Notamacropus eugenii: one gene and its partner. The protein of the gene in region 1 binds, or shares a complex with, the protein of each later gene. Links are inferred from orthologs where the notes say so. Each region holds a gene or a part of one and is shown on either strand. Other genes may lie near its edges.

The links.
Region 2: POLE3 (region 1) and POLE2 share a complex: the UniProt entries of both Homo sapiens proteins name them as parts of the DNA polymerase epsilon complex. The link is inferred for Notamacropus eugenii from reciprocal best matches to the Homo sapiens genes POLE3 and POLE2.

What each region holds. Positions count from the first base shown.
Region 1 is NC_092872.1:478,310,444-478,322,697, forward strand, and holds POLE3 (DNA polymerase epsilon subunit 3), read left to right. Parts: upstream 1-7,363; 5' UTR 7,364-7,406; coding exon of another isoform or gene 7,407-7,449; 5' UTR 7,450-7,450; coding exon of another isoform or gene 7,451-7,761; 5' UTR 7,762-8,024; coding exon 8,025-8,090; intron 8,091-8,177; coding exon 8,178-8,263; intron 8,264-9,516; coding exon 9,517-9,635; intron 9,636-9,806; coding exon 9,807-9,979; 3' UTR 9,980-11,418; downstream 11,419-12,254. UniProt on the Homo sapiens protein: Accessory component of the DNA polymerase epsilon complex. Participates in DNA repair and in chromosomal DNA replication.
Region 2 is NC_092872.1:309,329,086-309,341,314, forward strand, and holds the start of POLE2 (DNA polymerase epsilon subunit 2), read left to right. Parts: upstream 1-7,086; 5' UTR 7,087-7,144; coding exon 7,145-7,212; intron 7,213-10,846; coding exon 10,847-10,947; intron 10,948-12,229. UniProt on the Homo sapiens protein: Accessory component of the DNA polymerase epsilon complex. Participates in DNA repair and in chromosomal DNA replication.

The DNA of each region.
Region 1 (12,254 bases):
ATCTTCCCCCAGGTACTCCTTGCTCTTACCTGAAGGTTTATTCTGTGCACGGCCAGAATCATTTTTGTCTTAGACAATATAAATCGATGCCCTTCCTGCAAAAGGGTCTCTTCACTTATTCTGTCCAGTTGGTCCATCTTTGAAATTGTTTTCTCTTCATCAGACAAAGAACTGAGGGGGGAAAAGATAAATGGAGAGTAAACAGTAGTTCTATTCTGGAAGAATATGAATAAGGGATTAAAAATGGCTAAAGGGTCAGTGAAATTTCCCTATCTAGACCATGAAAAGGGTCTACAAACCAGTGCTCTGTCTGCAAAACCATCTTCCGATACTTATCTAGAGATACAACCACCCATCTGTGCCCAGTTGAGAACCTAAGGCAAAAGTGGAAACATTAGGAGGGGACACACATTGTACTTATCCTTCTTGACTCAGAAAGAAGCAGGTTCACCTTTTGGTCTTCACAGAGAAGAAGGAGGAGGAGGGAGAGAAAAGAAGGAAGAGAAATTGGGGGAAGAGCAAGGAAGGAAGAAGAGGACAGTAAGGAGATATGGGAGGGAAGGGGGAAGAGGAGAAGAACTCAACATTTATTTCATGCTTTAGGGCTTGCAAAGTGCTTTACATACATTATCTCATCCAATTCTGTCAATAATCCTATGAGATAGGTGCAATTATTATCCTCATTTTACAGAGGAAAAACTAAGGCTACAGAAAGATTGTGATTCCTAAGGTCAAACAGCTAATAAGTGTCAGAAGGAGGAGTCAAACCCAAATCTTTCTGACTCCAAAAGCAACATTACACCATGCTATGCTCTAAGGAAAGCTCACCTCATTAATGAATGCTTGGGAAATGTGAAGGCCCAGGAAGACAAGGATTCCAGATGTGAAGGTGGGGTGACTGGAGATGGTGGGGGCACCCTTAGCCATCGATGCATCAGCTGCGTAGTACAGGGCTGCCCACCAGTAGGGACTCCTGTTGATTTCTTTTTCTTGAAGAGAAATAGTGAAAACAACTCCCTCGTTTTCCTATCACCACCCTAGGGTTCGCACTTCTTCAATCCACATGCTAGCTTTATAACACTAATCCTAACTTGGTCCTTCCTTCCTTTGAAGCACAATTCCTGCTTTATTTTTCACAACTTCTCACTTCCCATACAACATCATTTTTGTCTCACTCTGGTAACCAGGTAACCCTATGTCCTCTCCCCTAGCACTCAATTAAGCATGTCTGCTCTAGAAAGATCTACAAATAAAGTTTTTCTCCCCAGATGGATAAACATAAGTAGATAATGGAAGAGACTTGGAATGAAGAGAAGTTTGGTGGCTCCAACTGGAGGATGTCTCCTGGATCCTTTCCTTAATTGGGAGCTGAGGAGAACTGGTAGGACAAAAAGTCTAAACTAACAGAACAAAAGCATCAACACTTTAATCAGTAAAACTAAACACAGTTTACAACCTTCGGAGCTGCTCTCTTGGTGATCCACTCCTGGCATGGCATAATTTTGCTGATCTTCAAGGGTACAAATGATTTCTTATCCGGGCTCAGTCTAAGGAAACTAAAGCATGAAGAGGCCTAGGAATGAGAAGCTGTCTGGTACTTCTCTTACTACCCACTCCCAGATACCTTAAATACAAGAAACAAGGATTAGTCAGAAAATGATGAGATCTCATCCATAATGCTGGCTGAGAATGGTGGCGATTTCTCTCTCACACATCAGCTATGCAAAAGTGAGGCCACTGAAGAAGCTGCTAAGTAAAAGCATGTATCAAAGTGACAGGGTCTGGTTTGTCAGGTCATTTCTTCACTGTTTATCAACTTTAACATCCCTCAATCAGAGCCTGGGAGCCCCAACAGACATAAGAGTCATCCTTTTCCTATTTCAGCTGTAGACGTCAATAAATCTTTTTACTTTTTCCTATGTGGAACTGTAGCACACTTTGTTTTGTACAAAAGTAGTATTTAAGAGTTATTCTATACAAGTACAACTGGGTTTTAGGGTTGAGGTGAAAAGGCTAAGCAAAGGATCTACCTAAAGGAAGCACAGCTTTGATTACTCCTGACAAGTAGGGGGAGAAAAAGGGGGGAGACAATTCTAAATTTTTGTTCTAAAAAAAAAATGTTACCAGAGAGAAACCTAGAGGTAGAGAATCTCCAGAAGTTTCATACAAGCATAAGATCTAAGGACTCCCAAGGCTAGGAACAGTGCTCACTTTGTCCTATGCTTCTGATCAGATTTCTTGTATTTCACTTGTTCATCTGGGATCCATACCATAAACAAATTCCCACCATCCAAACATTCTGGAAGACGTGTTGCATTCAAATTCAGCACTGGGAGCTGTAACAAAAAGTGAAAAGATATGAGCAATGCTCATTTGCCCCTGGGCTTATAAGGCCCAGGTGCTGAGCTCCAGATGAGTAACCAAATGGCACGGAGTCAGTTAGGGAGATTGATAATAACAATGATAATAGCTAACACTGATATAGTGATTTATGGTTTACAGAGCAATATATATGCATATATAAGGAACAAATACATACTCATTAGAACCTCACAACAAAGCTATGACGCAAAGTATCATCATTTTTATAGATTAGAAAACTGAGGCTTAGTGAGATTATATAACTCGATATAGGTTACATCCAAATTATGTGATGGGAGTCAGGATTTGGACTAAATCTAGTGGTCCATTAAATGAATGATACTTCTCCCCTACAGAGTCTAATACTGAGTACTGTTTTGTTCAACATCCTTAAACATCTGAGTGGGCTTCTGTGGACAAGATTATCAGCTTCCTTCCATGAAGACCAATTATACTGCCCATCCTCCCCAGGACTTATCCCCAAGAGCAGGGGTTGAGACAACTCTAGACCTATGCAGACAATCAGGGAAGCAAATGCAATGTGCTATGTTCTCTTTGCAACCTGTCCACCACTCCTGGGATCTGAAACCCTATGTGGTATGTGGTATGTGCATATGTGTGTGTTATAGTATCCCATTGGATACTATAAACTAAACTAAGGAAGCTGCAAATCTCCTCCTTTTGTTTGACTAGAGAGTTAGAGAGGTATTTCCATTTCATTGCTCCCAAATCATCAAGTCCTCTCTCAGCCCAGGGCAACTGCCCTGGGCCCTGTTTAGCAATAATTTAATAACTTTACATATATATGCATATACATGTGTATATGCATATATATTTCTTCTTATCAACGATCTCCCCAAGTTATCTGTATACCTCAGGGGTCAGGGCTCTCTTTGGTCATGAAACAAGATACTACCCAATAATATTGTTGTTCAGTCATGTCCAACTCTTCATGACCCCATTTGGAGTTTTCCTGGCAAAGATACTGGAGTGATTTGCCATTTCTTTCTCCGGCTCATTTTACAGATGAGGAAACTGATGTAAACAGGGTTAAGTGACTTGCCCAGGGTCACGCAGCTAATTAAGTGTCCAAATTTGAACTCAGGAAAATGAGTTTTCCTGACTTCAGTTCCAGCACTCTATGCACTATGGCGCCACCTAACGGCCCACACAAGAATATAGGGTGTTAACCAGAGGCAACACATTTTATTCTGTGCTATGCAGTTCAGCTGGAGAGACATACTATACATGCTACATCTGTGGATTATTTTTCTTTGTGACTTACTTTGGCAGGTTTTCTAGACTTCTGGGGAAAACCCTGACCATGGAAACCTCTCAGAGATTTGAGTCCTAATAAATGTGGTTCTTCCAAACTGAAACAGACATAAAAGTTATTAGAGAAAGCGAGAGGAAAATAAAGGCTAGTGCAGGGAAGATCTTGGAGGAACAACCTTCCTCATGCTTATAGCAGTAACACTTCTACATAATACCTCAGTATTTTATAGTTTCCCTTTTTAATAATCTCTGCTTCCTAATCCAGTAGCAAAGAAATGTAGCGTGACCAACAGACAGGTGTGGATGTGGAACCTTTCCTACATATAGGGCACAGAAGTATAAGATGCAGTCCCTATCCTCAAGAGACTTATTCTAGCTGGGATAGGAAATGTACGTGATAAATCAAAGGCAGAATGTGTTAGCTATATAGTGAGTAGTTGTTCAGTTATTTTAAGTCATATACAACTTCATGACCTCATTTGGGGTTTTCTTGGCAGAGATATTGGAGTGGTTTGCCATTTTCTTCTCTAGTTCATGATACAGATGAGGAAACTGAGGCAAACTGCATTAAATGACTTACTTAAGGGTTATAGGGCTAGTGTCTGAGGCCAGATTTGAGCTCAAGAAGATACATCTTCCTGACTCCAGGCCCTCTATGCACCATTCCACCTAGCTGCTACAGGAGTTCTGAGGAAATGGCAAGACAGTCACTCATAAAAGAAAACAATCTGGTTAGATTTCATGGAGACTAGAGAACTGGGTCTAGAAAGTCAGTTCAGGAAGATGGAGAGAACGTCAAACTGGACTCAGGAGATCTGGATTCAGGTCACAGCTCACTTACTGGATTTGTAACCATGGGCAAAGTACTTCCCTTTTCTCAGCCTCAGGTGCCCTCATATATAAAATGGGAATATTTAAAATACCTCCCTCATAGGTTTGACCTAAAGAAAGGGCTTTGTAAGTCTCAAAGCAATAAATACAATTTGCAGTTATAGCTGTTAAAAGGATAGCATACAAATAAGCTGAGAGGCCTAGGAGGACACACGCCAAGTAGTATAAACAATATAATTGAAGGCACTGAGGTGAAAATCAGAATTGCGTGATCAGAGAACAATGGGTACACTAGCTGAGCTAAAGAGTAAGGTTCAGGTAGGAAAACAGTAGAAGATAAAGTGGAAATGGAGTGAAGAGCCTGGAATGACAAACTCAAGTTTTGGCTTTATTCTGTAAGTGCTAAGAAGCCTGTGAAAAATTTTAGTTGGAGGCAAGACATGCTAATTAGTGTTTTAAGAAAATCAATCTAGTCTACGTGTACAAAATGGACTGAAAAAAGGCAGAGACCAATTAAAAAGTTATTCCCACAGTCCAGGCATGAGTTGGTGCCCTGTGGGTCTGAACTAATACAGCTGCCATAGAAATGGAAAGCAAGGGATAGATAAGACATACATTAATACAGCTGAATTGACAAGATTGACTTGATATAGCAGTTCCCTGTCAACTCTGCACTATAGCTTTAGTCCAAGAGAAAAGTGTGAATGCATGCCAACCACATGTCCACCTTCACACAGTGGGAGAAGCAGCATTCCATTCTTTTCTCCAAAGCTCAAATCTTAGAGAACCTGAAAGCCATCTTATCCTTTCCTTAATTTTACCCTATCTCCTAGAGCCCACCAGGCACCACTGAGCAGGAAAAACTAATCACTATGAAGTATATCAAAAGGCCCAACACCCATACTTTGACTCCAAGAAAATTCACTTTCAAGTGTTTATTGTGCACCTAGTTAACTATGTGCCAGTTACAATGTTACATCCAAGAAAGCAAAAACCACCTCTCTGTCTCCCAGAGCTTACAATATAGTTTCAAGCATGAAGTAATTAATCCAAATAATTAACATCTTGAAAATTCTTAACCTATTTGAAGCAATTGTCCAGATACACTTCAGTTTAGCATTTCTATTGGAACCCAAAAAAGGGAAATATTTCTTTCTCTTGCCTCGATATCAACTCACCACTTCATTTTGTTAGTGAGAAATAGTTCTTCCCATGGTAGGCTCACTGTTTCTTAACCTGGCATGGCAAATTCTGGGGCATGGCTCTAAAAAATAACCACCTGGGATCCTGAGACACATGGTTTCTGGTGTTTTCATGATGAGTCACCTGCTTTGTAAATCCGAATCAAATTTAGAGTCTCCAGTCAAAGAACAAGGATGCTTGAAAAACGGGGCTGAATCAGCGATTCTCTTGGCCAAAATGGAAGAATCAGGTAAAGATAAATCTATTATCTTTAGAGTTGGCAGTTCATCTAGAAATGCAGACCATATTAAAAACTAGTCAGAAAGGAAGCCAAATATACCACATATATGGGTCTTTGGACAAATATGAAAGGGTATTGTCAGTTCACCTTCACTTTTCTTAGGAGCTCTGGAAATTGGTTGAAGAATTCGAGGATGACCCCTCTGAAGCCTTCGGACTGTTGCCCAACATTGTGGATGCTGGCAAACAAGTTGTGGACAGGTAGTCTCATCCCATTGACTGACATCTGGCAATTCGATATTTATCACAGATTTACAGCAGAAACCAACCTCAAGATCATTAGCCATCTACGGAAACAAGAATTAAATAAGCTAGGGAATATGACACAGTATCATTAGTTATATCTGCATGGCAACGTGTAGCCCACATCTTAATTTGATTGTGAATATCTATGTCGCCTCAAAAAAAGATGCGTTAGAATGGAGACCAAAGGAGCAGATGATCCAAAAATCATTAGTGAAATTAAAAAGTGTCTACTCCCTACCGCAAACAGCCACCAAACTGATACAATACTGATACAGCGGCAGATAAACAAGGGGTAGTGAAAATAACACTGGATGTGGAGTCAGGCGACCTGGGTTTGAAGATGGAGTTCACTATTTATTAATTCTGTGACCTTGGACAAGCAATTTCCACTCTTTCCACTTCAGTTTTCTCATATACAAAATGAAGGGGTCAAAGAGTGATCTATAAATTCCCTTCCAATTCCAAATCCTAATAAGTCATTATCTTGCATTTATACGACATGTTCTATTTTTCAACACTTTCACATATGTCATTTCATTTTTCCTCACCACACAAGCTTGTTAATATACTATCCATAATGGTGTGTGCTACTAATAATTGTGTATTACTTAAAATATCTAAAAAAAAGTAAAAAAAAGTCTCCAGTGGAAATTTTTCTACAGTTAAAGGAAGCAGAAGCCTAGTCCTGAGATTCTTCTAAGAAAGGAGAAAATCAGGGAGTCAGACAAGCTTAAAGACGAAAAGATTCCGGAACCTTGGGAAGATCAGACCAAAGGAGGAGGGGAGCAGCAAGGGCAGAGAGTGAACAAACAGAAAGCCGGCTTAAGAGTCCACACCGCCTGGACTCCAACCCTGCCTCCGACACGGAGGCTGCAGGACTCTGGGTAACTAAGAGGATAAACTGCAGAGAAATCACAGCTCTGCCCCGGGAGAGGACGGTCCTCACCGAGAGCTCCCTGCACCAAGCAAATGCCAGGCAAGGTCTCAAAAAGGCAACGCAAGCCAGGAGGCAGGCTGCAGTAAGATGGAGAAGTGCGGGGCGTGCGGGACATGGGATGCTCGGGGAGGGGGGGGGGGGGGGTCAGGGCAGGCTTCAGAGGACGGCACAGCGGAGGCGGGGTGGGACAGGGCTGGGGAGGAAAGAGACCCAGGACGGTGCGGATCAGGCGGGGCACAGGGAGGAACAGAACGGCGGAGAGGGAGGTCGGGGCAGGCACAAGGCAGAGACCGGGAGTCAGGATGAAGCAGCACCCCGGTCAGCGAGCACCGCCAAGGGCGAAGGCTGGAGGGGAGGCGCGGAGGACGCCCCACGAGGAGGGAGGCGGAAGCGCAGCTCGCAGGGGATCCCTGCCCTCGGAGAGCCGCAGAGGAACGGCAGCACGGACCAAGCCACCCCGCCCGACTGAGACCTAGGCTAAGCCAGCCTCCTCTACGTCGGAGCGACCCTGACAGGATTAAAAGAGTCTCTAGGCAACCGCGCGCTGCACCCTGGGGGACCGCCGGGAAGGGCGGGGCTCTCCGGTTTCCAGACCCGGCCAGGCGGGCCTTGGATTGGCCGAAACTCATCGGGGGAAGTCTCCAGGCGTGAACGCACGAGGCCGGCGCCTCTCCGGGAGGGCGTGGAACGCGCTGGGGCTGGGAGGCGGGCGTACGAACGGAAGCCCAGGCGGGACACGCGCTCCGGGGCGGGAAGTACGGACGCCGGAGAGGCGACCTGGGTGAGCGACGCGGCCGGCGGAGGTCCGGGCCGCAACTGCCGCCTTGTCTCGGAGGCCGGCGGCGGCGGCGTGGTTGCGGCTGTCCCGGGGCAGACGAGAGGCGCGGTGGCCATGGCGGAACGTCCGGAGGACCTGAACCTTCCCAACGCCGTCATCACCAGGATCATCAAGGAGGCGGTGAGCGGGGCCGAGGCCGGGGCGGGGGCCGGGCCGGGGCGGGGGCCGGGGCCACCCCACTAACTCGGGGGCCGTCTCCCCTTGCAGCTCCCCGACGGCGTCAACATCTCCAAAGAGGCCCGGAGTGCCATCTCTCGGGCTGCCAGCGTGTTCGTGCTGTACGCCACGTCCTGGTGAGAGCCTCGGGCCGCGGCAGATCCCCGGCGGGGCTGCTTGCCCTTCCTGACCCGGGGCTGTCGGGCCCCCCTTCCCGGGTGTCCTCCACGTACCTCCCCTAAATCCCCAGCCCTCGTCCAAGAAGCTTCTCCGTCCTTCCCCTAGTTACCCCCATCAGGTTATTTTTTTGTATATATGTGTCCGCATTTAGTATTTCCACCGTAGAAATGTAAGCTCTTTGAGGGCAGGGACGGTTTTCTGTTGGATTTTGTATCCCCAAAAGCTTCTTGGCTTATACCTGGAGAGAAAGTCAGAAATCAGGAAGACCTGGGTTCAGGTCCTGCCTCTGACCCATAACTTAGCAGTGGGACTCTCGACAAGTCATTTAATCTCTCCTAGTGCCCTAAGCAGCTCTCTAAAATAAAGTTTCAGAGAAGGGGTGGACTTGCTTTCTAGAGAAAGTTTTCCTCCACTGAGAGTACCGTATACCAATGAACTCATAATAGGTCCAGTGACAGCCTCTCTCTTAGCACCTAGCTCAGTCTTACACATTTAAGACACTTAGGAAATGTGTTGACTTGAACTTGAACTTAAGTACAGCTTCATTCTGAAGTTGATCTCACAGAAACTTGGTGATGAAAAGATTTGCTGAAGGTCCCACAACCAATTAACAGAATTAGGACTCTCCTTACTCTTAGTCCAGCGCTAGTACTCCTTCCATTATGCTATGTTGCCTCCCTCAGGAAATGAGCTTAGCCACCCCCAGTCCTCTGTAGGAGCAAAGTATCCCTATCAGTGTTTACTGTATTGAAAATTTGAATGTAGTGTTATGAAAATAAGGTTGACTTCATGGACCCTCTGAATTGATTTTAGGAGAGAGCCACTAGTCTGATCTCAAAGGTCAGCTTCTCTTTAGGCTTCAGTTTCTATGTCTTTATTAGTAAAATAAGGAGGTGAAAAGATGGTCAGTAATAATAAGAGCAAATATTTATGATGTGCTCCCTGCTACATCATCTTTGAAGTAGGTAGCCCTTCAAGCTTCACATGGTTTAAGAGGGCTGCATCTGGTATTTTTCACACTTCTCTTTCTTTACCAGACTAGAGTAATTGGGATTTGTAATTACAGGTTAAAGTTTGAGACTACAGGTAGTCTCCCTAGATGTGGGCTTGGTCAGGCAATCAGATTTGCTTACATGTACCTGTTAATTGTCTTTAAATGTCTTGAAGTAAGACATGGCCAAGATAATTCATCTCTCTTTTTTTTTCTAAGTGCAAACAACTTTGCAATGAAAGGAAAACGAAAGACCCTAAATGCTGGTGATGTGCTATCAGCAATGGAAGAGATGGAATTTCAGCGATTCATTTCCCCTTTGAAAGAAGCACTAGATGGTAACAACTGGTGTATTTTATTGGGCGGGTAGACATAGCTCCTTGTAAAGTGATGGTCATGTAATTTAACCAGATGAACTTAAATACAGTATTGTATATATATAGATGTGTCTTCATTTGAACCTGTCTCCAAGCCCTTAGCCTTGCCTTATAGCTTTCTTCTATTTCTAGCATATAGACGTGAACAGAAAGGTAAGAAGGAAGCTTCAGAGCAAAAAAAGAAGGATAAAGACAAAAGAACGGATTCTGAGGAGCAAGACAAGAGCAGGGAAGATGATAATGATGAGGATGATGAAAGAATGGAAGAAGAGGAGCAGAATGATGAAGAAGAGGTTGACAATTGAGCTTCATGGAGAGAATGTGGAGTCAGATGATAAGAAACTTGGGGTTCAGCACTGTTGCCTCCATTGTACTGTTTGACAGAGAATTCTGTGGCCTTTTCCTCCACTGCTAAGAATGCCTCCATATGAGGACCTAGGAATACTTCTTGAATAATCCCCAAACCAGAGTTTTTCTGAATGAGATCTTTCCAATTTCATTTTCATAGTTTATAAACTGACCTTTTGACAAGGTAGGTTATGAACTGCCATTTAATCAAATTTTTGTGGGAAAAAATGTAGAAGATTCATATATTTCACTTCCTGTTTTATGACCCACATTTCATACTAGCTATTATTTAGAGGGTGTAGAGGCAGCTGAAAATTGGAGATGTTTGAACTCTGAGCATGAGTTAGCCTATGACTGACAATGACATCGCTCGTTGAAAGAGTAGTCGAGGCACTCTGGATCCGGGGGAATATCCAAAAAAGTGTGGGGTAGAGAATGCAACTCTCACTCCTTTGAAAGTAACTTTCAGCAAAATTCTGCTTTCTTTGCTTTGTGATCTTCTCTTCCTGAGGCTTCCTTCACCTAGTGTCTTGCTGAGTTTGGAGCTTGGTCCCTATTTGCCACACCCTACTTTGCACTTTGTACATGTTTTGAAATGTGCATTTCACTATATTAGTGGAGTGCTGGGTTTAATGTAAAGTAGGTATTTCACCTCAAAATTCTCTCTCCCTTCCCCTGCCTACTGAACAACAGTTTGAAAACAGACTTTTTTTGTATACGTAGTCCCTTTATTTTTGGTTTTGTAGTGAACCTCACAGGTGTCTCATCCTTTTAGAGCTTGGCTCTTTTATTTAGCAGGTGACAAGCCCCAAAATTCATTTCCACCAGGTACTACACAGTTACTCTCTCCAGACTGTTTTGCTTTGCTAACTTATGACAGTCAGTCTAGCTTAATTTAAAAAATGTAAGGTTTTCTTTCAATCCCAGAGTATTGACTCTTGTCTTTTAAAGACAGCTTGATAGAATAACTGTTATAAAATATAATGATGCTTCAGAATATAATTCTAGTAAACCACTTTTCTAAAGTGGTGTTGATGGGGCCTTCATCTTTTCTTAGGCTCCCCTTCCATTCACTCCCAAGTACTTTTGTCTTCAAGTTGAGTGAAAGTTGGTAGCTCCTAGAAGACCTTTATCCCCATGGCAAAAAAAAAATGTGTTCAGCCAGAGGGGGCTCCTACAGTGACCACATTCAGTCCCTCTATTAAGAGCCATCTTGAGAATTGGGGGTAAAGATTCTTGCCAACTTCTCCCCATAGTCGGCTTTAATTTTTTTGATCTATGGAGTATGACAGGTGAACAAATGTAGTCTGCTACCATTGACTTATTTGTGGCTTATAGGGACAGTTTGGGGGGAGGGAAATATAATGATTTGTATAAATAAAGAATGTTGTTAAAATTGTTGCCTTTTGCTGTTCCACATCTGTTCGTGGTGACTATTGGGAAAGAACTGACCTCTTCATTGAGTCTTCCATGTTTTGTAATATGGGAACCATAGAAAGTGAGTTATGCAGCTCCATGGGTGGCCAGCAGGTGCTCCTCAAGTATCAGAAATAGCTCTGCAGTTCTGTTCCTCATGACACTGCTTTCATGGATTAAATATTGTCAAATCTTGACAGTTATTTGAAATTATTACCTCAAAATTTTCCCACTAATCATTCAGCCTTGTTAATTCTTCTTTCACAAATACATTCTTTGCCTTCTGGGTCATGTCATGAATGAATATTTGTTGAATGTTGAAAGAATTTGGAAGGGGGAAGAAGGATTGTGGTGTGCCTAATCATGAAAAGACTGGGGGGTGGGGGAAGGGATAGGATTGCTGGTATTTAAAATACCAAACTGACTGTTACAGAAAAGAGAATAGGTTTATTTTACTAGGTTCCAGAGGGGAGAAGTAGAACCCCATAAATGGATGTTACAGGAAAGCAGATGTCTACAAAGGAAGCTCCTTATAGCAACTAGAGTTGTCCAGTAGATGAGGTTGCTTTGTGGGAAAGTGAGCTTCCTCTTTCTGAAAATATTCAAGAAGAGCCTGGATGACCACCTGAAACTGTGAAGAAGGAATTAGCTTTTGAGTTTATTTAATGTTGTTTCTTAGCTAACAAGTATTTTGTCTTCTTTCTCCACTCCCCAATTTGGAAAAAAAAAATCCTTGTTAAAAATATATTCATACTACCTACCTCCCATGGCTGATCTGAGAATTAAATGAGACAATATTTGTAAAGTGGTATGTAA
Region 2 (12,229 bases), about 170 Mb from region 1:
CTCAATAAGATTAGAGATGAAACAAGGATGTCTATTATCACCACTATTATTAAATATTGTACTGGAAATGCCACCTCTAATAGAGAAGAAATTGAAGGAATTAGAATAAGTAATGAGGAAACAAAACTATCACTCTTTGCAGATGATATGTTGGCATATTTACAGAATGCCAGAGAATCACCTAAAAAACTATTTGAAACAACAACTTTAGCAAAGTTGTAGGATATAAAATAAACCCACATAGGTCATCATTATTTCTACATATTACCAACAAAATGCAGCAGAAAGAAATAGTAAGAGAAATTCCATTTAAAATAACTGTACACAATATAAAATATTTGGGAGTCTACCTGCCACAACAAACACAGAACTATAGGAGCACAATTACAAAACACTTTTTACACAAATAAAGTCAGATCTAAGTAACTGGGAAAACGTCGGTTGCTCTTGGGAAGGCTGAGCTAATATAATAAAAATAACAATTCTACCTAAATTAATTTACTTATTCAGTATCATACCAACCAAACTACCAAAAATTATTTTATAGAGCTAGAAAAAAATAACAAAATTCATCTGGAAGAACAAAAGCTCAAGGATATCAAGGGAATTAAGGGGGGGGGGGCGGGGAAGGCAAAGGAAGGTGGCCTAGTCATACCACATCTAAAACTATATTATAAAGCAGTGATCATCAAAACTATTTGTTACTGGGTAAGAAATAGAATGGTGGTTCAGTGGAATAGATTAGGTACTCAAGACAATAATCAATGACTGTAATGATCTACTGTTTGATAAACCCAAAGACTTCAGTTTCTGGGATAAGAACTCAATATTTGACAAAAACAGCTGGGAAAACTGGAAAAGTATGGCAGAAACTAGGTGAGTGGGATAGGTTTAGTGAAGATGTCTCAGATTGTAATTCTTCTCCCAGGGGTGAGGTAAGGCCTAAAGGCTCAAGGTTACAATACTTTTAGAATAGAATAGTTCCATATAAGGATATAAAACTATGTAGTGTGTTAGGGTCTCAATGACTGGACAAAACTCACATAATTCCTCGATGTCTTCATTTCAAAAAGGATTGGTGAGATTTCGTGTCTAGAATGTAAGATCATATTCTCAGCTAATGAGGATAATGGTCAGTGGGGGGAGCAGGGACTTGTGTTAGGGTCTATATAAATCACTGCCCTTTTCTTTGTCTTCGGCTTTCCTACTCCTACAGGTTAGCCCCACTTCTTGAGAATCAAATAAATCTCTTTTCTGTCATCACTTTGAGAGGCTTCTGAGTAATTGATTTATGTAGGGACCTGAGCCATCCCACACATAGGCATAAACAAACATCTCAAACCCTAAACCAAAAGGTCAAAATGGGTACGTGATTTAGACATAAAGGATGATACCATGAGCAAATTAGAAGAGCAAGGAATAGTTTGCCCATCAGATTTATAGAGAACAAAAGAATTTGTGACCAAACAAGAGACAGAGAATATTATGAGATGCAAAATGGATAATTTTGATTACATTATATTAAATTAAAAAGGTTTTGCATAAACATAACTAATGAAACAAGATTAGAAGGGAAGTAGAAAGCAGGGAAACAATGTATACAGCCAGGGTTTCTGATAAAGGCCTTTTTTCTCAAATATATAGCAATATGATCAGTTCATTACTTCAATTTATTTTACCCTTTACTTCTAGGATATCAGGGCAGTTTTCCAGGATAATTTCAAACAACTTCATGTTTTTTAATCATGGTTTTCAGGTAGTCTAATAATTCTTAAGTTATTTCTCCCTAATACATTTTCCAGGTCAGTAATTTTTCCAATGACATAACACATTTTCTTTTATTTTGTTCATTTTTGATTTTATTTTATTGGGTTGTTTTTTTGGTTTTTTTGATGTTTCATGAAATCATTAGCTTCCACTTGTCCAGTTTTAATTTTAAAGGAATTATTTTCTTCAATGAACTTCTGTACCTCTTTTTCCACTTGGTCAATTCTACTTTTTAAGTAGAAGTTCTTTTCTTCAGTAGATATTTGTGCCTTTTTGTTTTTACACTATTTAGCCTATTCTCTTTCTTTTTTTAAGGCATTTTTTCCTTTGGTATCCTTTTGTGCCTCCTTTGCCAAGCTGTTGACTCCTTTCTCATGATTTTTTTGCCTCACTTTCATTTATTTTCCCAATTTTTTCTCTGCCTCTCTTATTTGATTTTGAAAATTCTTTTCAAGCTTTTATGGGAATTGGGGGGTGAAAGGGCAGAGACCAATTCATATTTTTCTTTGATACTTTGAATGTCACTGTTTTGACATTGTTGTCTTTTGAGTTTTTTCCTTTTGATTTTCCCTGCCATAATAGTAACTTTCTAAGGTCAGATTCTTTCTTGTTGTTTACTCACTTTTCTAGCCTATTTCTTGACTTTTAGCTTTGTGTTAAAGTTGGGTTGTGTTCCCAGCATAGAGAGAACACTGTTCCAAACTTCAGATTTTTTGTACTTTTGTTTTCAGAGCTAGTTCTGGGGGTTGACAAGTTTTCAGTTCTTCCAAGGTGGTATGGTTTAAGGAGTGGTGTGATGTGCTCTCCTGGCCTGTTTTCTGGTTTGTAAGTGACCACAAGCTCTCTTTTATACCCTGGAACTGTATCCAGGGTCTCTGCTTCTGCTAGTGCACCTCCTAATCCTGAGACTATGACCCAGAACCATGTATGGGCAATGCAACAGAGGCCGCCTCCAGGGCCAACAAAGGGTGCCCTGAAATGTCCTTTTGACCAACTATCTGAAAACCCTTACCATCTGTGGACTAAGAACTCTGGAAGCTACAGCCCTCAAGACCTGCTCCTGACTTGTTGGGGCATGGCCTGTACTGGTGCAGCCTATGCTAGACTTTTCTCCACTCTTACCCCAGTGAGATAGATCTTTCCTATCAACCTTCTGAGTTGTCTTGGGTTGGTCAATTATTTCACCCCTTTCTTTTGCTGGTCCTGCCACTTCAGAATTTGTTTTGAGGCATTATTTTAAAATTGTTTGGAGGGGAATTTTGGAGAGTTCAGGTGAATTCTTAGCCTGTACTCTACCATTGTGGCTCTGACCCCAAAGTATAATCTTGAAACAGTAGCTTTATCATTATAATTCTGAATAGCAGAATTGGTGTCCTTACTCTCAGAAGTCATATCCTTGACAAATTGATCCTATCTTAGGAAAGAGAATAAGTTTTTCAGTCCTGAAGTTTTTTGGCCCTGGCCTTTAATAATACTTAGCCAGTAAAGATGGACTGTTTTTGGGCATGGTTATATTCTTTACCTTTTCTATCCCCAGTATGAAGCTGCTAAGAGTTTGAGGTCCCAATGGTTCAGGTTGTCCTCACTTGGAAAATTGTTTCATAGCATGTTTAGACAATGCCTCCTCAGAAAGGAATTTGGAGGACCAAGGGGTACAGATGTTGAGGGGTACCTTCCTTTCCAATGCCAAGACCAACAGGCCTTTCATCTTCTCTGACATTGACACCTAAGGTCTCCAGTACTGTTATCTGTCCCATCTATGTTACCTAAGGATCCCTGGTTTTTTTCATCTGTCTCATCACCCTGAGAACTTCTGGGCCTTTCTATGTGCCTTGTAGCTGAACTTTCTTTTCTGTTGTCTCCTCTTATTACAAGGTAAGGTCTTGAGAGTAGGAACTGGATTACTTTTAATATCTATAACCCCAAACCTCAGCACAGTGCTTGGCACATAGTAAGCATTTCATAAATCCTTTTTCATTTGCTCATTCATGGGGAAAACCACCTCTACTTAATTATAGTTAATGTGAACTTACATAGAAGAAAGTGAATCCCTTAGTTGACTTGGTAACAATATTGTGTTCCTAGATGAAAGTGAGGAAGAGTCTTTTCCCACTCCCCGTGAAGGAAGAACACAGCCCCTCAGAAGAATCCTCTAAAGGGGCAAAGATTCAGGATTGCCCTTCTCCCCCATGGTGCTCCTAGGGAGAGAGAGGTCCTGGCTAGTGGGCCTAGGATCACTGCGTGGGCTGTGATATAAAGCAAATCTCTATATCAACTTTGGCCTTGGGATAGGTTGCCTATAAGAGGTAATACTTAGCTACCTTAGTACAGATGATCTAGATGGTATGGATAGAACTCTGGGTCTGGAGTCATGAAAACCTGAGTTTAGATTTGGCCTAAAACACTTATTCACTGAATAATCTTGGGCAAGTCAATTAAGCTCTATCTGCTTCAGTTTCCTTATCAAATTGCAAATAAGTTATCCTTATCAAATTGCAATTGGTCTCAAAAGGGGACAATAATTGCACCTACCTCCCAGGTGTTATGAAGATAAAATGAGATCTTTGAAAATGGTTTGCAAACCTTAAAGTATAAATGCTAATTATTATTATTGCCCTTACAAAGGAGGAAACGTTCAAATCTGAAAGACAAATGGAAGGAAAGAACTAATACTGTACACCTACGTTCTGGTTCCACAGTCTTACCTGGCTTGCCTCACAGCAAGGATACCCCTCTCCTTTTGGGGGAGTATAAAAATAGCCAGTCAGAGATCAGTCTCTGGAAGAGAGAGTGGAAGGACAACCCCTTACGCCCTGCTCATCACTCTCTTTACTTATATCTATGTGTATATGTATCTGTCTATATATTCATATATATATGTGCATACTTGTAAATATATGTGTGTGTTTTAAGGTTTACTAAGGAGTATGTAAACACATAAAAAATAGCAAAGAAACTCATTTATCTAAATCCTAGCAAAACAGAAATCAGAGAAATAGGTGAATACATATCAAACAATATAGAGTGAAAGAGCTCTTCCACTGGGAGTGAGGTAACTCAGCTCCACCAAGACTGTCCTTGATCTCATCCAAGGAGAAACTCACTGTAGTCTCTAGTGTAGCAAGCTGGAGATAGGGACATGATGAAGACTGCCGTTTCCATTCATATCTTCTCAGAGTCTTTTCCTTCAGCAGCCTGAGTTGTGAACTGCCTCTCCCATTTTTCATTTCTAAGTGCCAGAATCACCCACAATGACTCAAAGCTTGAAGACCAGAAGCTTGATAGAGGGCTCTCACCTGAAGAGTCTCTGAAGAATCCTAAAGGAGGACTGGTAAAGTCCACACAGGGCAGGGCATGGATCTCCATGAATAAGGCGAGTGTCCCCTACCAATCAATGATCTTTGGAACAGGGGTTTCTTGCTTGTTGTCAATTCAGTTATGTCTAGCTCTTTGTGACTTCATTTGGAGTTTTCTTGGCAAAGATACTGGAATGGTTTGCCATTTCCTTCTCCAGCTCATTCTTACAGGTGGGGAACTGAGGCAAACGGTTACGTGACTTGCCCAGGATCATACAGCTAATAAGTGTCTGAGGCCAGATATGAACTCAGAAAGATGAGTCTTACTGACTTCAAGATCAGCACTCTTTTTCATTCAAGGATATACATTGATATTCATTGTCCTCAGCACCATGCCACCTAGCTACTGAGAGAATTTACACTTGTAAATTTACATGGTTTGTACATAGTTTGTTTTCATGTTGTCTCCCTCCCTCCACAAATAGATTTTAAGCTCCTTGAAGACATGGACTTTTAAATTTTTCATCCTTTTTTATAGTAAGTGTATAATTCATTTTTTAAAGTCTAGACTTGATTATAGTCCATATGTTTTCAATGGAGTTTAAATCAGGTGAGTTCCTAGCCCATTGACTTCAACGTTTATGTACATCTCTTAGACAAATTTCTTGATGTGTTACATTGTAAGTTGCAGTATTTTATCTCCATTGGAGAATTTCTGTAATTCTGGAACGATTCTGCTTTTTAAGCACACCAATCTATTATGGTTCATAATGAACAGGGACAAGATTTCCAGCTTCGCTATAAGTTAAAAAAAAATCCCCAAAACATTTTTGGTTGTATGTCTTACAGTCTAATGAAGATCAATTAACAAGTATTTATTAGGAGTCTATTATGTGTGCTAGCTATTGATGATAAAAATATGAGTGAAACAATCCCTGCTTGCAAGCAGCTTACAGATATAGGCTCACCCAGACTTCTGACAATGGTTTGGTATATCCTTGAATGAAAAAGCAAATTTCACCAGCTAAAAATAGGTTTTTTTTCAATCTTTAGCTTGGGATGAGCCTTTATTCCTTAATAGCAGTGGGATGAGCCTTTATTCCTTAATAGCAGTGGTTAGTAGCTTTCCTTCGTGCTTCTGTTCATCTGAGCCTGGTTCATTGTAAGCCTGAATGATCCTTTACCTCTTCACCCCAACAGCTACTGCAGTAACTAACAGCTGTTGAAGTGTTCTCTTTAAGAGCCGTACCTTTTCCAAGTTTTCCTGCACTAATATCCACGCTTGGAAGGAAAAGTTAAAGATGCACCAAAAGAGAGCAGTGACACTGACATAGTACAAGCTATCCAAAGCCCAGCTGAAGAAGAGTCTGGGGAAGGTCGGAATTTTTAAGCTAGAGGGAGGGTAGCAGACCGGAAGTAAGCCTACTGCTCCCTTAAGCTTTGGTCTGGGAGGTTGGATCGGACTCCACCTAACTAGCTAAATAACACCTCGTCCTTTCTGTGGCGAAGGGGGTTGTTGGCCTACTGTTAGAAGCTCGTTAGACCACGGCTGTCCCCACATACGGAAAAGCTACAGGTCGTCCCAAGTCGTTAGATGCCAGCTCCTCAGGCGGGAGGGGTCTAAGCCCCAGCAGGCGGGGTAGCGCCCCGAAGGTCGTCGTGTTCAAGGTGGCGGCTGAACTGAAGTTAGAACAAAACAGCTATTCTAGAGTCGCAAAGGTGAGGACATGATAGTGCCTTCCAGGTACAAACAGCTTAGCGCCGTGTCTCACTCTTTTGAAGTCCAGGATGAGCCTTCCTTTAAAAAAATAAAAGTCTGGCTAGTAGCTGACCCTAAAACCAGCCCGTTCCAAACGCATGCCTTTGTTAACATCGCCAGAGGACTTTTCTCTTAAAGGGGGAAAGGAAGCGCTTCCGGGTCAAAACGAACCGAGGGGCCACCAGACAGGGCGCTGCAGCGCTCCGTTCGAGGCCACGGGGGCTGGCACAACTTCCGGGGAGGGGCGGGGCTGGGGGCGGGTCCTGCGGAAAAGGAGGGGAAGGCGAAGGAGGCTGGGCCGCCTTGGCGCCAAAATCCGAAGATGGCGCCGGATCGGTTGCGGAGCAAAGTGGTCTCTGCCTTTAAACTGCGGGGCTATCTGCTCCGGGGGTGAGTTCTCTCGGGGCACGTTTGGTGAAGGGGGGGGGGTGCGGGAAGGAGGCGGGTCCGGACAACGCCCGGGCCCCCCATCTGGGCTCGGCGCGCCCCAGCCCGGGCTGGGGAAATCTGAGTCCGACTTCCCGAGGAAGGAGGGAGATGGAAGCATTTATTAAGCGCCCACTGTTACCGGTGCTGGCCGTACAGAGCGAGGCAGAGGACAAGCCCTGCTGTCCTAGATCTTCCAGTCTAATGACAGGAAGCGACAGGTGCGGGATAAACGGAGGTGATCCGCAGGGCCGAGGGAGTGCAGGGGCCGTCTGCAGTGCAGGGGTCTGAGCTGAGTCTTGATAGAGGTGAGGAGGCACTGAGTACAGACTGTGCAAAGGCGCGGATTCCGGAGACGGAGAGAAGCCAGTGACGCCGACAGGTAAGGCGGGCCAGGTGGTGAAGGACTTTGAAAGCCAAACAGGATTCTATAGGTCAGGAAGTCACTGAGTTGTAAGAGGACAAACTGGCCAGCCATATTCCATTTTTTAAAAAAAATATATTTATTTTTAGTTTACAACATTCAGTTCCACAAAGCTTTTGAGTGTTAAATTTCCCGCCCCCTCCCTAAGACAGCGGGCAATTTGATATAGGCTTTACATATACATTCGTATTCAACATATTTTCACATTAGTCATGTTGCAAAGAAGGATTAAAACCAATGGAATGAGCCACGAGAAAGAAGAAACAAAAAAAAAAAGGGAGAGCAAATAGTGTGCTTCGATCTCCTTTCAGACTCCTTAATTCTTTCTCTGGACGTGGACAGCATTTTCTATCAGGAGCATTTGGAGTTGTCTTAGAACCTTGCATTGTGAGAAGAGAAGAGCTAAGTCTATCAGTTGGTCATCACACAACCTGGCTGCAGCTGTGTGCAGTGGGTCAGCATTTCTTACAGCACCATAAGATCCCATCACATTCCCCTACCACTGCTTGTTCAGTCATCCCCCAGCTGATGGGCATCCCCTCGATTTCCAGTTCTTGGCCACCACAAAGAGAGCTGCTATAAATATTTGTGTACATGTGGGCCCTTTTCCCATTATGATGTCTTCGGGATACAGAGAAGTGGTATTGCACTTTTTTATAGCCCTTTTGGGTGCATATATATATATAATATACATATATATATATATATACACTAATTTAAAAAAAAAAAAACCTTGGCTAAGCCAAGAAAATGGAGCATTAAATTATTTTACTGTGAACTCGCAAATAACTAAAGAGTTGTATAGGCATTTAAATTTGTGAATTAAGTCAACAAGTGTTTATTTAAATTCTGACTAATCCTAGCACTCTTAGGTGCAATGGGTTAAGAAAAATAGTCTAAAATAGCTCCTGCTCATAAGGAACAATCTTGTTGTTAAGACGAGGTTCAGTTCTTTTCAGCAAATAAAGAGTACAACATATTGACTGCAAAGTATAATGGATAATGTGAGATTGTTTATGAAGGTGCTTTAAAACTGTAGAGTGCTATACAGATGCAAGATATTATTCATAATTGCTTTAAGTAGAACATGATAAAGTATCATAAAAGATACAAAGTACTATGGAAGTTCAGAGTGGGGAAATGTTCTTTCCTGTTGGGATTAGGGGAAACCTTATGCAGGTATTAGAGCTGTGCATTAAAAGGATGGGTAGGATGTGGGGAAGGGATTCTAAGAGGAAGAAGCAGTGAGATAAAATGTATGTATATGTGAAAACATATGACATATTGTAGGAATGGGATCATTTGTCTAGCAGGTTGTGTTTACAGATTAAAAAAAAGATCCAGAGAGGTTGGGTGAAGTGAATTTTAAAAATATTTTTATATCCAGTTTTCATTTTTATACAGAATTACCAAATAGTTCTCTGACCCCTAGTCTAAGTAGAAACTGTTTCTAAAATTCTTTTTAAAAGCATTTCTTTTGACTTTTAATTTTTGTCTGTGTTTAAAATTCCCAGTCATAAGAAATTTGTCTTAAATGCAAAATGTCTAAAAAGATCAAGTATGTTATTTTAAGCTCATTTGAAAAGTCTGTTATTTGATCTACGTCATTTTTTTCAACTACTCTGATTTTCCATTGTATATATAATATCAGGGACATGGGTGATTCAGTGATGCCAACTGAATCTTAGCCATGTCTGTTCATTACATGCTACTCCTATATTCACTGTGGGTAGTCCATCCAATGGTGTAGGAACCCTTACTTTATTCTCTTGATGTTACATGCATTCTAGTGGAGCACATGGGCTGCCTTTTGGTTATCCCTCCTAGTCATTAGGAAATGAATCCAGCCATTTTTTTTTTCTGGTCATACATTTCTTTGATGACTCCTTTGATACTGCTCCTTTTTTGTTTTTTGTTTGTAATGTATTACAGGCTATATAGGCCCATCATCTACCATTTCATCCCCCTTTTGGGTGATCCCCAGTTTCAGTTCTATACAGAACAAATGAATAAAGCATTTATTAAGTGCTTACTATGTGTACTGGGGATAAGCTCACAATCTAATGGGGGACACAGCACATGGAAAGTTTCAGTTGCAAATTAGATGGAAAAATCCTGTAGACCTTAGAGTGCAGTGGCAAAAACAGATGTTAATGCCTCTTCTTTAATGTCATTGGTCCCTAGGTTTTTGGGTTCAGGGTTCTGGAGATGTGGTATTGGTATTTTACGTGAAGTCAGAACTGGATACACATTTTTCTGGAGTGGCTGCAGTGCAGGGGAGAACTGTGAAGCTAGTGTAGATTTTGCAATCAAAGAGGTGATCCAAGGACACTCTCAAGGTCTCTCTCAAGAACTTTGGAATTGATTGTGTGATATGGGAGACACTGACACAGGACCACTCAGCATGGTGTGCCCACATCAGCGAAGGTGCTGTGCTCTATGAGCAAAGCAGAATTAAGACAGCACAAAGGAAGCATAGGAAGTGCAAATTTAGAGTGTCTACCACAGATGTTCACACAGACTCTCTGTGCCCAATCTGTAGTAGAGCATTCCGAGCTTGTATGGGTCTGATCAGCCACAGTCGGACACATTGAAACTTGACTTTATCATAGTGATATCATTTTGGTTCTATTCAAGGATGAAGGTCAACAACCAGCCAACCATCCTGGCAAATATCTCTTCCCATCTCTCCTTCAGGGTACCTTTCCTGCTTCATCAGCTCAGGTGGCTTGCCTACCCTGTGGGTGGAGTTGGCGGGAAGGTACAGAGGCCCAGCCCCTCCTTCACAGGAGTTGCTTCCCCAGATAATGGCAGTGAGGTTTGTGCTGGAAGCAGGTCTGGTTGTTTGGTGGGCACTGCTATTCCCAAGACTCTTTGGTTCGGGGTTCTTGGCTTTCCCCTTCAGGGTATTGGGGGAAATTGTGGTCAAGCTAGTGGTGGTGGTGTGACTTGCTTGACACATGCTGTCTCCTCTCTTGCCCCATTGCTTTAACATGAGCAGAAGTCACATAGATGTATAAGGTTTCTTCAGGAGAGCAAGATTAAATTTCAATAATAGATTGGTGATTTTAGTCTAGTAATTAGTCATTTTTTAATATTAAAAAGTACTTTGCTCTTAAGCATAAATTACCTGTTTTTTAAAATCAATTTCCTACTTTTTCTTCCTTTTATTAGTGAAGCCACTAAATACCTCACTGAAGCTTTTGAGCCTGTCTCTGAATTAGAGCTTGAAGATGCTTTGGAAAGTGTCATTGATGCTGTTGAAAAGCAGCCTTGTAAGTAATTCTTAAATTGTTTACAGTTATAAATTTAATTTGATCCTTAAATTTGGTGATATTTTGTTTTAGCATAAAGTACTTTACTTATTAGACATACCATGATATCACCTTTCCCTAATTTGACAGTAGCCAAAGTCTTAAACCTGAACTTTGGCCTGCTTCCCAAGGGCCTCTTTTTATTTTTGTATAAGTCTTAGCTGATACTATTACTGCTATCTTTTCTCATCTTCTCTTGACTTTTAATTTTGTTAGAACTAAGAGAAGTAATTGTAGCATTACACCAGATTTTCTAGAAAGGTGTCATCGTCTTAGGAAGCACCCCCTCAGTTCCTTGGATGCCCATTTGATTAAAAAAAGCTGATCTCCCCTCCAAATGCAGATAGTAACAAAGGACTTTTTGCTAGTCATCTTGGCCCTTTTAAATGGACATAAGCTGTTGTTATTACAACAGGCACAAATCTGTAGTGTCACAAATCTGTAGTCCCTGGCCATGGTCTTCAGTGATTCTGCTTTCTCATATATTTCTGTTGCTAAGAGAACCAAATCTGTGACAGAAACATACTGTTACAACACGGGTGGAAAAAGTTCCTATATCTCATTTTAAAATCTATAAATGTAATGGAGCCACTTTTTTTTTTATTTTATTTGTTTTCAGTGTTCTACAGTCACTGCCATAAAAAATTGTATGCCGACTTGGGGAGGGAGGGGGTAAATCATCCCCTCCCTCCCCGAGTCAGCGTACAGTTTTATCTAGGTTCTACACATACATTCCTATTAAATGCATTTTCACCTTAATCATGTTGCATAGAAGAATTAAAATGAATGGGAGTAAAACAAACCAAAAAGTAATACAAAAGAAAATGATCTGCTATATTCTGTGATTGAATTCCATAGTTCTTTCTTTGGATGTGGAAGGCATTTTGCCTTAAGAGACCACTGAGAATTTTAATGGAGCCACTTTTGCTCATATTACCTAGTGATTGAAGATGTAATACAGGAGTAAAATGACTCTAGGTACTTTTTACTAATCAGCAAACTGTTATGATTGAAGTGGGATGTGGACTTTTAACCTTTTTGTTTCATTGACTCATTTGGAAATTTGTTGAAGCTGAAGGAATTCTCAGAAAAATGCTTTTTAAATGCATAAAATAAAACATTACAAAGGAAACCAATTATATTAAAATATGGTTATCAGAATATTTTTTAATAAGCACCAAGTTCACAGAGTCCAGGTTAAGAACTCCTGCCTTAAAACATTTTTCTTGAAAATTGAAATAAT